Linked DNA regions of Xenopus tropicalis. The protein of the gene in region 2 interacts with the protein of the main gene of each other region in a pairwise test. Links are inferred from orthologs where the notes say so. Each region holds a gene or a part of one and is shown on either strand. Other genes may lie near its edges.

Region 1 (4,894 bases), on a different chromosome or scaffold from region 2:
AAAGGTTTCACTGAGAAACCATGAAAAAGTGCCTCAAGGTACCAGGGCAGCAAGTCACGAAAATGACTTCTCCACATGACTGAAGATACATATCCATCTTTAAAGGGGACAAGTTTTTGAAATATGCACATTCATTTGGGCTTGTTTAAAATCACATGTATAATCACTACGTGAACTGCAAAAAAAAAAAAAATATATATAAACCCATTTGTTTTACATAGACATACACTATTCCACAGATATAGAGAAAACACAATGACCTGCTTCTGACTCACACAGTCCACTGCCCACCCCCAGTTAGGCTGACAGTCATTCAACCCCTCGCTCATATTGTACTGTGGTGAAGTGATGGATTTATAGAGTTGAAGTTCCTCTGCTTTCCACAGTGGCCACTGCATAGATCCTTTAAAAAGCAACTTCAAGTCCCAGGGGTTGAATGACTCTGCCAGGCTAAAGCTGGCCGTATACACACCGATAAAAACGAGATTTTGTAAGATTTTTGGACCATGTGTGGGCTCTGAATTATCGTCCCAATCATTTTCTTACTATGGTGATTGGTCATTTAGCCAATCGGTCAGGTTAAAAATTTTGGTCGGCTAACATGCATGTTTTGTGTATCGGACAATATCCTTGGGGGACCTACAATGGAACTTTTGTAGGTTTGGTGTCTGCAACTATTTCATGTTCAGAACATCCTCCGATGTATTATTGTCATATTTTATAACTCTTCTTTCTATTCAGGCCCTTTCCTATTTATAACCCAATGTCTCACTCACACCACTACTTGGTTGCTAAGGTAATTTGGATCCTAGCAACCAGACAGCTGCTAAAACAAAAAGCAAAATAATTCAAAAACCCCACATAAAAAAAATGAAGACCAATTGCAAATTGTTTCAGAACAGCACACTCTACATCATAATAAACGTTAATTTTAAGGTAAACATCCCCTTGAAATGTATGACTGACATCCAAACTTCGTCGGAAAAAGACTAAAATCTGAACATGTACGGCCACCTTAAGGGGTGGGGAAATGGTCCCTATGAGTCACAGGAGATAATTATGGCTCTCAGTCTGAGGAATTGTTTATGTTTTACTTAAGCCCAATGATGCTATAATGGTGGAAAAAATGATCTGAATACACTGAGTATGAACACTGGATCATTGCTTTTCTTTTCAGTTTACTGGAAAGTGTACTATTTTGCAGGCCTGGACTGGCAATCTGTGGATTCTGGCTAGTGCTAGAGGTAGTGCTCTAAGATGCCATAGCCCCCCACTGCCCACTAAATAGTGACTGACCGTTTGGCCCTCTGTGTACTTGAAATTCCAGGGCCTATTTTGAACACCAGTGAGGACTTGCTACTTTGCAATTTATAAGCAGCACTTTCCAAATTATGGCATAGGGTTTGGGATTTAAAATAATACTGGTACACACACATTCTGTAAACTGCGCAACAGGATTAGGGACTCCTGCAGTACAGATGGGCTAGTTGTGACAGGCTCAAAGTCCCAATTTAGAAACCCGAGAATGTTAGCAGAATGTTTGTATGAAATATTCAATAATCTGCAATTCATAGAGGAAGGTATGTCAGCCTGACTGGTACATGAAAGTTCCACCTTGTAAACTCTATCACACTATAGCTGTTACTATTGGACAATGTCACAGATTTCAGTATTTCTTCTTTATGCCTTTTAGTTAGACTAAATGAATTGGTTTAACATTGTCTAGCCCTTTAAAGGGGCAGAATACATATAGAAAAATAGTATATACATACACAAAGACCTTTTTTTCAATAGGAGCAGAATTAATAGAACTTGTGCTGAAATTACATTCTGTGTATTCTAAACTGCAAAGGAATCATGCCAAATAGATTTATGCTGCTGTTAAAGAAGCATCTAAAGAACTAACAAAAAAAAGTCACTAATTTTATTTGCACAGGCCTATAGTAGCCATGTCCAGCTAAGGTTAAAGCCCTTTCCACTCAGCAGTGGTACTTACCTTCCAGGTACCAGAGTGCCTAGCCCCAACTGCACATTCCCCTTGCTCTGGGCTAGGAGGAGGAGGTGTTAGACTAAATAAAGGAGCCAGAAAGGCAATTTAGGGGCAAACAGAGGGCTATACCTACATAGGGCTTCTGTTCTTAAAGCAGTACAGTTGTACAGTTGAATAATTTCACACAAGAGGCTTTCACTGTCCCAATGTTAGAAATGGAAAATCTTGAAACGTTTTCAAGGAAAAAACTCAGAAAAGTCCAGTTGTTTTAGACTTAATTCTACTAGATACTGTATATCATGACCTGGATGAATGAGAATCTTCATAGACATATTGCAAACAACATATTTTCCGTAAATGGTAGATCTCTCATTTTAACAAGAGGAATCATAATTATAGTGATTTTGTTTAATAACAGATGATTCAACCAATTTATTGTGTCCAAATGCCAACAATGTTAGGGCTAGCTGATAGGAAATATGTAATAGGCAAAATAATAATACAATGATAATATGGCTCAGCTTAATGCGATCATCGAGCCCCATGTGTTGCTAAATACCTGTACCCACAAACACACCATGATACTCTCACCCTGCTGCTGCGGCCGGATACAGCTCCCTGCATAGCAAACTTTCCAGCTCCAACCCACACACACATCTGTAGCAGCTGCCATCTTTGCGCTACCGGCGCACACTTGCACACACATACACAACCCAGTATGTATACACGGACAGAAACATTACAGCCAAGCAAGCGTATCGGTAAGAAAGAGCGATTGCTTCTAACACAGAGCAAGTGACATCACTCGTTCCCGTGCAGTTCGCCAGCTGCGGCCGGACTACAACTCCCAGCATTCCTCATCTTCATCCACAGCTGGAAAGCAGCGGTTCATAGTTCGAAGTGTGAAAACTTTATAGAGTAAACGTGGAAAGCGATCCTTGGGTGAGGGGAGACAGGCACGTACCTCAAATTTGACAGAAATGGTCCCTTGAATCTGTCTAATACCAGAGGAGAACGCAACGACAAGCTTCAGACAAGCAGATCCAAGTTAGGCACACTAAAGCTAGGGACTGTACTCCCACAACTCTGGAAACATACGGAGAAAAACTTGCAGCGGGCGTGGCTTACGAGGCACCGCCCTATCCCGCTGTTAAACTGAGGGGCGCGACGCTGGCCCGGAAGCGCTGAGAGTACACCGTGTGCGTGTTCCAAGCAAGGAGCCCGAGTTCCCCAACGCTGCGCTGCTCCTCCCCTTATAGTACGCTTTCTTTGCCATGAAATAGCGAAACTTTTTCACCGGAAGTAAGTGTGCTTCTGTTTTGGAGTAGTTTCAGTTCTCACGAAGGTGAAGGTTATGTGCATAGAGTTTCCAGCCCAGCCAGCTGTCCCAGGTTTCGCAGGACAGAGCTTATTGTCTCTGTTTGCTCAGGCGAGTTTGTATTCCTTGAGGGGTGCAGGCAGCTGCACTGTTGTGCCATACTGTAGTCATACTATAGTCATACTGTGGTCATACTTGGCCTGATTTGGTCAGTGTGCTGATTTCATACACCCTGCCTACCATCATCTGGGCATGTATGCTGGTTCTGGGGCAGTTTACTCTGAAGCCAGCATGTTGGATCGCTGGTGATCGGACACTAAGGGGCGTATTTATTATGCTGTATAAAACTTAATTCGGCGAAAAAAAGCTGTGTAAAATAAATGGAAAAGATCACCATCTGAACGCCGGATATTACGCCATTATTTTCCATAAGTTCCGGTGGAAAAAAAATGCGTAAAAGAATTACGCCGTTTTTACGCCATTTTTACATGGCGATGTGTGACAAATTTTCTCTATAATAAATATGCCCCTAAGCTGCGGCCTGCACAGTTCCACTTCTCACCATATGATGACCGGAAAGGGAAAGTCTTTCTAAAAATGGAATAAACACCAATGAGGTATGGTGTACAGGCAAACTGTAGGTTCTGGCAAATGCCAGGAGGACTATTGTCAATTTTTAACGGACAGTCACAGTGTTTTGGGGCTGATTGGGCTTCTGTGTACTTGAAATGCCAGGGCCTAATGATGTGCTGGTAATAATAGTATATCTGTAATTTGTAGCACAGACTCATCCTAAGGCACTGCACCCAGGATCCTGTTGGTGGGAACCTCTGAAGCTGCAAAGGGTGCCATATGGAACCTTTCTCATAGCACCCTATGCAGCTTCAGAGGTCAAACTCAGATGATGGCCAAACTGGCATAATAAACATTGCATATCACCCTCTGTCCATTCAAAGAAACGATAATATGGCAGCTTTGGCCTGTGTATGAAACTGGTGGTAGATCAATGGAATGCATTGTAATTTGTACACTGCTCTTTCATTGTCAGTGGGTACGCACTGCAACATTCTTGCACAGGACATGATTTACACTAAGGACACAGTCCCACGTGGTGTCCTGTCCTCTTTCTCTTGTGTTTTGTAGGCAAGAGGAGAGATAGGGGGTCCCTATACCTGCCTGTATGTTGCTTCACAAACTGGCACAGTGTTAGCCTGAGTGCAGCTAAACAGAACAGAGATCACCCCCCAAAAATGCGAGCATGCATTTTTAGGCGGTTTCTACTAGTTTATTTAATGCAGTGCCGGTGTCCTTGCAAGAATGGACTGTGGACAGTTGTGACCTTAAAAAACTGCTCCTTTTTATTAAAAATATTATTTGTCTTCGGTACAGAAATCTCAAGACTGTTTTCCCTGTCTTTCTCAAGATGCATTTGAAAATAGAGCACATTAAAACACTAGTGAGCACTTGTATGTGTGTACCTTGGTATGAATGAATGATGTCGAAAGGACCATAAACCCCCTTATAGCACTGATCAGCAGTACTGGATAAATGAAATCACCACTTCTTCCATAAATTCATCACAGTGG
Region 2 (5,004 bases):
ACACTAAACAATTTGTAATTATGTGTGGAGCACAGTTAACCACTACTCAACTATATTAACTTTTTTTCTTAATTTCCTTTCATTCTGACCAGAGTGCAAGATACCATCCTGGTTTTTTTTTAATCTTTGACTCGTTCTGACATATTTATCAAATGGTGAAACAATGCTTACCATAGTTCACCAGTGACAAAGTTCATATCATTATATTTAATTGTGTAGGATTATTCAGGGCCTGTTTATCAGAGGCAAAATGTATGAGTTCAATCTTAGGCCCCTAAAAAATCCTGTACAAGAGAAAATGAGTAATGAAATATGCCTGCAGTGATCTGTACTGGAACCCTTTGATAATTATGCCCCTTTCATCAACACAGTGAGCAAAACCTAACACAAAAAACAACTATAAGCTCAAGCTGAGCTCTCCTCCTCTTGCTAGTTTGTTTACATACAGAGGTGCTGGGGAGAGCTTGCTGGCCTCCCTCACGTGCCAGAAGGGTTCTGCTGCTGGTCAAGGTATGCAGGACTGTAGCATTAATACAAGAAGAGAGAATGTGAATTTAAGGTGCCTAGGATGTCAAAAGGGAAATAAATATAGCAACCAGAATGTGTACCTCCTCTAGTGACAGATTCAGCTGTGTTTAGAGCCTGTCCTCCAAGGTCACTAACAACGCTGTCCACCGTTCGATGGTGCTTCAGGAAAAATGGGCGGATGAACCGGTCATATAGAATCTGAGAGCCATTCCATGAAAATGGAGCCATACACCAAAGTAAGAAGCAACACTGTAGAGAAACCCATTGACACACTGATTAGAAGGAAGCAAGTAAGGCAGACTTGATCAATATCTATGGTAAACAATGTAAAAATAAATTTCAGTCTTGTAATTAGCATTTGATGCAATAAAACCTAACTGGGATTCTAAATTTCTGAATACAGATCTTGCATCTAAATGCAAGATAAAGTCATACTGTTGTTGGCATTATCAACTATTATCATAATAGGTTATTATTATTTCAATTATTTACACCCCTCAAAAGCAAGACTGGACTGTGCCAGCATAATGAAGTATTCATTATAAAACACTGAATTTCAATAAAAAAAAAAGGCTCTCAGAGCAGTTCACCAATACACAGAGGTGAGATAGGCTCTAAATAAATGCAGAAGCTTTATAGATTAATATATGAATTACTAGCATGTGATTTGAGGTGACTGTTCAATACTTAAAAACATTCTCTTTCTTAAGAGAAGCTATAGCTAGCCAAACATGTCAAAAACTGGTCCGGCAATGTGTCTGCTTTTTCCCCTTACTGACCAACTACCTGGACATATATTCCAGGTTATAACTCACCAAGATGAAACTTTCAAACATACCAGATCTGTGATCCCACAGGATTACAGGATTGCAGGATTAGATGTAAAAATTATAAATCAGAGAAGGGGAAAAGTTCAAGCAAATTTTTTAAAGCATTCTCACCTTTCTTTTGGCAAATGACAAACTCAAAATGAATATTTTTAGCACTTTCACCTGTCCCTTAACTACTGACCTTGCCCAGGTAGTAAAATGGAAACCAGAAGAGAAATATGTCAGAGAAAAATTCCACTACACTGAACACGCCATATACCACCCAGTATGTCAGCCATATTGTGTCATCTTTTTTATCTGGGCTTTCAATAGCTTTAACCCTACAAGACAAAATGAGAAATTGTAGATTTTACATTAGTATAGTATTAGCAACAAAGTGTCAAAACACTAAGGAGCAGATTTACCTAGGTGTGAGATTACAGCTCACCACAGAAAAATTCACCCACTTTCTATTCATTCCCAAGTGTTTTTATAAACGGGAGAAAATTAAAGCTTGCCATTTGATAAATACACTTTTAAAAATCCCGTGGGAATGAATAGAAAGTATGTCATTTTTTCTGTGGTAAACTCTAATCTCACACATTGATAAATCTGCCTCTTAACAGGAGAAACATTCTCCAACAGGTACAAACACTTTAATCTACTTTTCCTTCCCCCATCCAGAAGACACTCTAATCTCATTCACTGCTGAGGAATAAATCCGGATACTTACGAAACATAGGCTGGGTACACAAAGCCAATCAGATTGCAGACAAGAGAAGCCCCATAGCCAAATATAAGGTACAGCCCTAGGGAGCAGATGGAACCTAGGAAGAAAAGCATTGTAATAAAAAAAAGAATGAACATTTGTATGTATATCTTTATTTATAAAACACTACTTATGTACGCAGCGCTGTACAGTAGAATACATTAATACAAACAGGGGGTTACTAAGATAATAGATAAATACAAAGTATAACAATAAATACAAATATATACAAGATACAGTTACAGTTGCAATAAGTTAAGAGTCAAAGACACAAGCGGATGGAGGTCCCTGCCCCATAGAGCTTACAATCTATATACATTTACATATTTAGTGAGCTCCCTAGAGTAAGGAAGGGAAATGTTGCTCTTTATATCAGTGTCTTAAAAGGTGGCCAATGGGTGGCATGCTGTGACCTTCACATTAGGATACTCTTATTCACAGACAGCATAAGAAAATGATAAGGCACATGACAGGCCAGATATGTAGATGTGGCTGTAACAGCACCCAAAGCAGATCACTTATTAACCATAACGATTATACAAGAACGACTAGTACCCAAGCAGATGGAATGTGGTATTATTTTTCACCAACATAAAATACAATGTGCAGCAGTCATAAATAGGGGCCACATGTGAGGCTACTGAAATCTTGCAACTTGACCTCGGCTTCTCAGCATGGATTCCTGCAGAACGTGGTCTGGGACGTAAAGCTAATGCAGCGACATAATCCCCCTGTCTGGCTCCAGCAGCCTCACACGTTCTATTCAATGGCTTAGTGCCCCACTTATTAGCAACCCCTCTTACTTTTTTGTATTGAATGTAGCCATATACACGATGCCACACGCAATCACAGTGGAACTATCTACTCCTTCTTCGTCGCACTGAATGATCACGTTTAAATCACAAGCTAGAAGGGTAGTTGTCATTTAAACAACTCTCTATACAAATACAGGAACACTGAGACGGAAGCCCCTTTTAACCCTGTCCTGAGCATGCCGTCTAATTACACGTCCACCTGTTAGCAGATACAGAACTCCTGTCATAGCCCCGAATAATAGCTAGCTCACCCGAAGCAAGATAATACTTTTTGATCCCAGTTTTCTCCTCAGCCTTCCCCAATAACCGGGATACGAAGTTGTCTCCATTCAGAAAGTTCTGGAGGCGCTCCTTGATAGAAGGCATGGCTATGGAGCAAGGTCCAGGTACTGGGGACAAACAGATAATCTACAGGGTCTGAGCCGTATGCGGGCGCACCGGCTGGACTGCAGGGGGGGGGGGAAGTGTCACATGTTCAAAACCCAATCACATCGAAGGGCGTGTCCTCTTCGAGCAGGTGAAGGCGGTTCAGGGAACAAGTGCTGTGAGAGTGTTAGCGTTTAGCTGTATCTCTGTGAATTTAGGTGAGGTTAACGTGCCTTTATGTGCAGGACTTCAACGTAAACCTATTATTATTTTTCTGGTCTTTTTTTTCCATAATTTGGGTAACCCGAAGCTCTGAAACAAATCGTGTTTCCGGGATTGTGTGAATCCAGTAAGCATAGTCAGTTAGTGGTGGTATAAGTAATAACCATTTAAATGATTATTTGGGTATTAATACTTTTGCTTTTAACATCACTTCATATATAATCATTTCCTGCTGCCTTCCAAAATAGTTCCAAAGTAACTGTTAAAGGGGGACTAAACCCCAAAATAAACTGATGTAGCGTTGTTTCCCAAGCGCTTTTGCAATTTACATTCATTTTTTTTATTTTTAGAGGCTTTTGATATATTTGCATTAGGCAGTGCCAAATTTGTGGCATCTGTTTTAAAAAATGAAAGCTTCTAAAGTTAGCAGAGGCAGCTTTTTGCCACCTGCATTCAGATCAACTGGGAGTCAGCAAGCCAAGGGTTAAATGACTTCAGGCAGTGTAAAGATAATAGACAGAGTTTCTGACACTATAGGCCTTTAATAACCGTTGAGCTGAAATCTGCCTAGCAGTATAAGGCTGATGCCAGATGTGGCGTTTTTACACTGTAAATTCTAATTCACTCAGCGGCTGAAAAACGCACAATATCATCATCCATAGAAAACACACTATGTGTAAATACGCAAATACATAAATACGACTTCTCATGCGTTTGCCGAAATACGCCGTTATTTGCACAGCAACTTATTCCTATGTATACACAAAGGCAGCTTCCAGACCTAGCGGAAATACGCAGCGTTTTTTACTATTTTGCACTATTAGCTCCATGGGAACCAGGATTTGCTACGTCACCAGTACTAGGCTGAAAAATGCCATAGTCAGGGGCTGTGTGGCTTGTGCGGCGTTTTTAGGCGGAGAAAATACGCAGCGTAAAAACACCACGTCTGGCATCAGCCTTAAACTGTGAACCAATTAGACTAATATCACAGAAACCAATTAAAACAGAAAAGTATGTATAATGTATGTATAACTTTATTTATAAAGCGACACAAGGGTACACAGCACTGTGCAATCTTACAATATACAAAATTACACACAAGAAAGACGAGTGTTATAATAAATACAATAAATAAGTATAAATGCACAGGGAGTAGGTGCCATGTGGTATGAGACACAGTAGGAAGGAGGTCCCTGCCCCGTAGAGCTTACAATCTAAGTGCCATCTTGGAAGAAAATTGGGGTGACTTATTATTTGCTGTCTTTGATATTCTTTAATTTTTAGCTAGGTTTTTGACATTTATTTTTATAAATCTATATTCCTCATATGAATTAATGAGTTCTTTACTTGGGGGATTCAACAAAAGTGGTGTTAAGCTGGCATTAAATTGGAATAAATTAATTGCCTACACAAATCCACAGTTGTTTAACTGTTCTCTTTTTTATGACATTCTATGCTAGAAATGTTTTTTTTCTTATGTTGGTGGAATATAGTT

Evidence for each region. The genes of interacting proteins can lie anywhere in the genome.
Region 1: the proteins of reep6 (region 2) and litaf interact in binary tests that used the Homo sapiens proteins (3 or more experiments, as listed by UniProt). The two-hybrid records come from large-scale screens. The link is inferred for Xenopus tropicalis from reciprocal best matches to the Homo sapiens genes REEP6 and LITAF.

What each region holds. Positions count from the first base shown.
Region 1 is NC_030685.2:36,369,865-36,374,758, reverse strand, and holds the start of litaf (lipopolysaccharide-induced tumor necrosis factor-alpha factor homolog), read right to left. Parts: upstream 3,082-4,894; 5' UTR 2,955-3,081; intron 1-2,954.
Region 2 is NC_030677.2:99,404,168-99,409,171, reverse strand, and holds the start of reep6 (receptor expression-enhancing protein 6), read right to left. Parts: upstream 3,322-5,004; 5' UTR 3,288-3,321; coding exon 3,173-3,287; intron 2,165-3,172; coding exon 2,071-2,164; intron 1,679-2,070; coding exon 1,540-1,678; intron 778-1,539; coding exon 609-777; intron 521-608; coding exon 447-520; intron 1-446. UniProt on the Homo sapiens protein: Required for correct function and survival of retinal photoreceptors. Required for retinal development.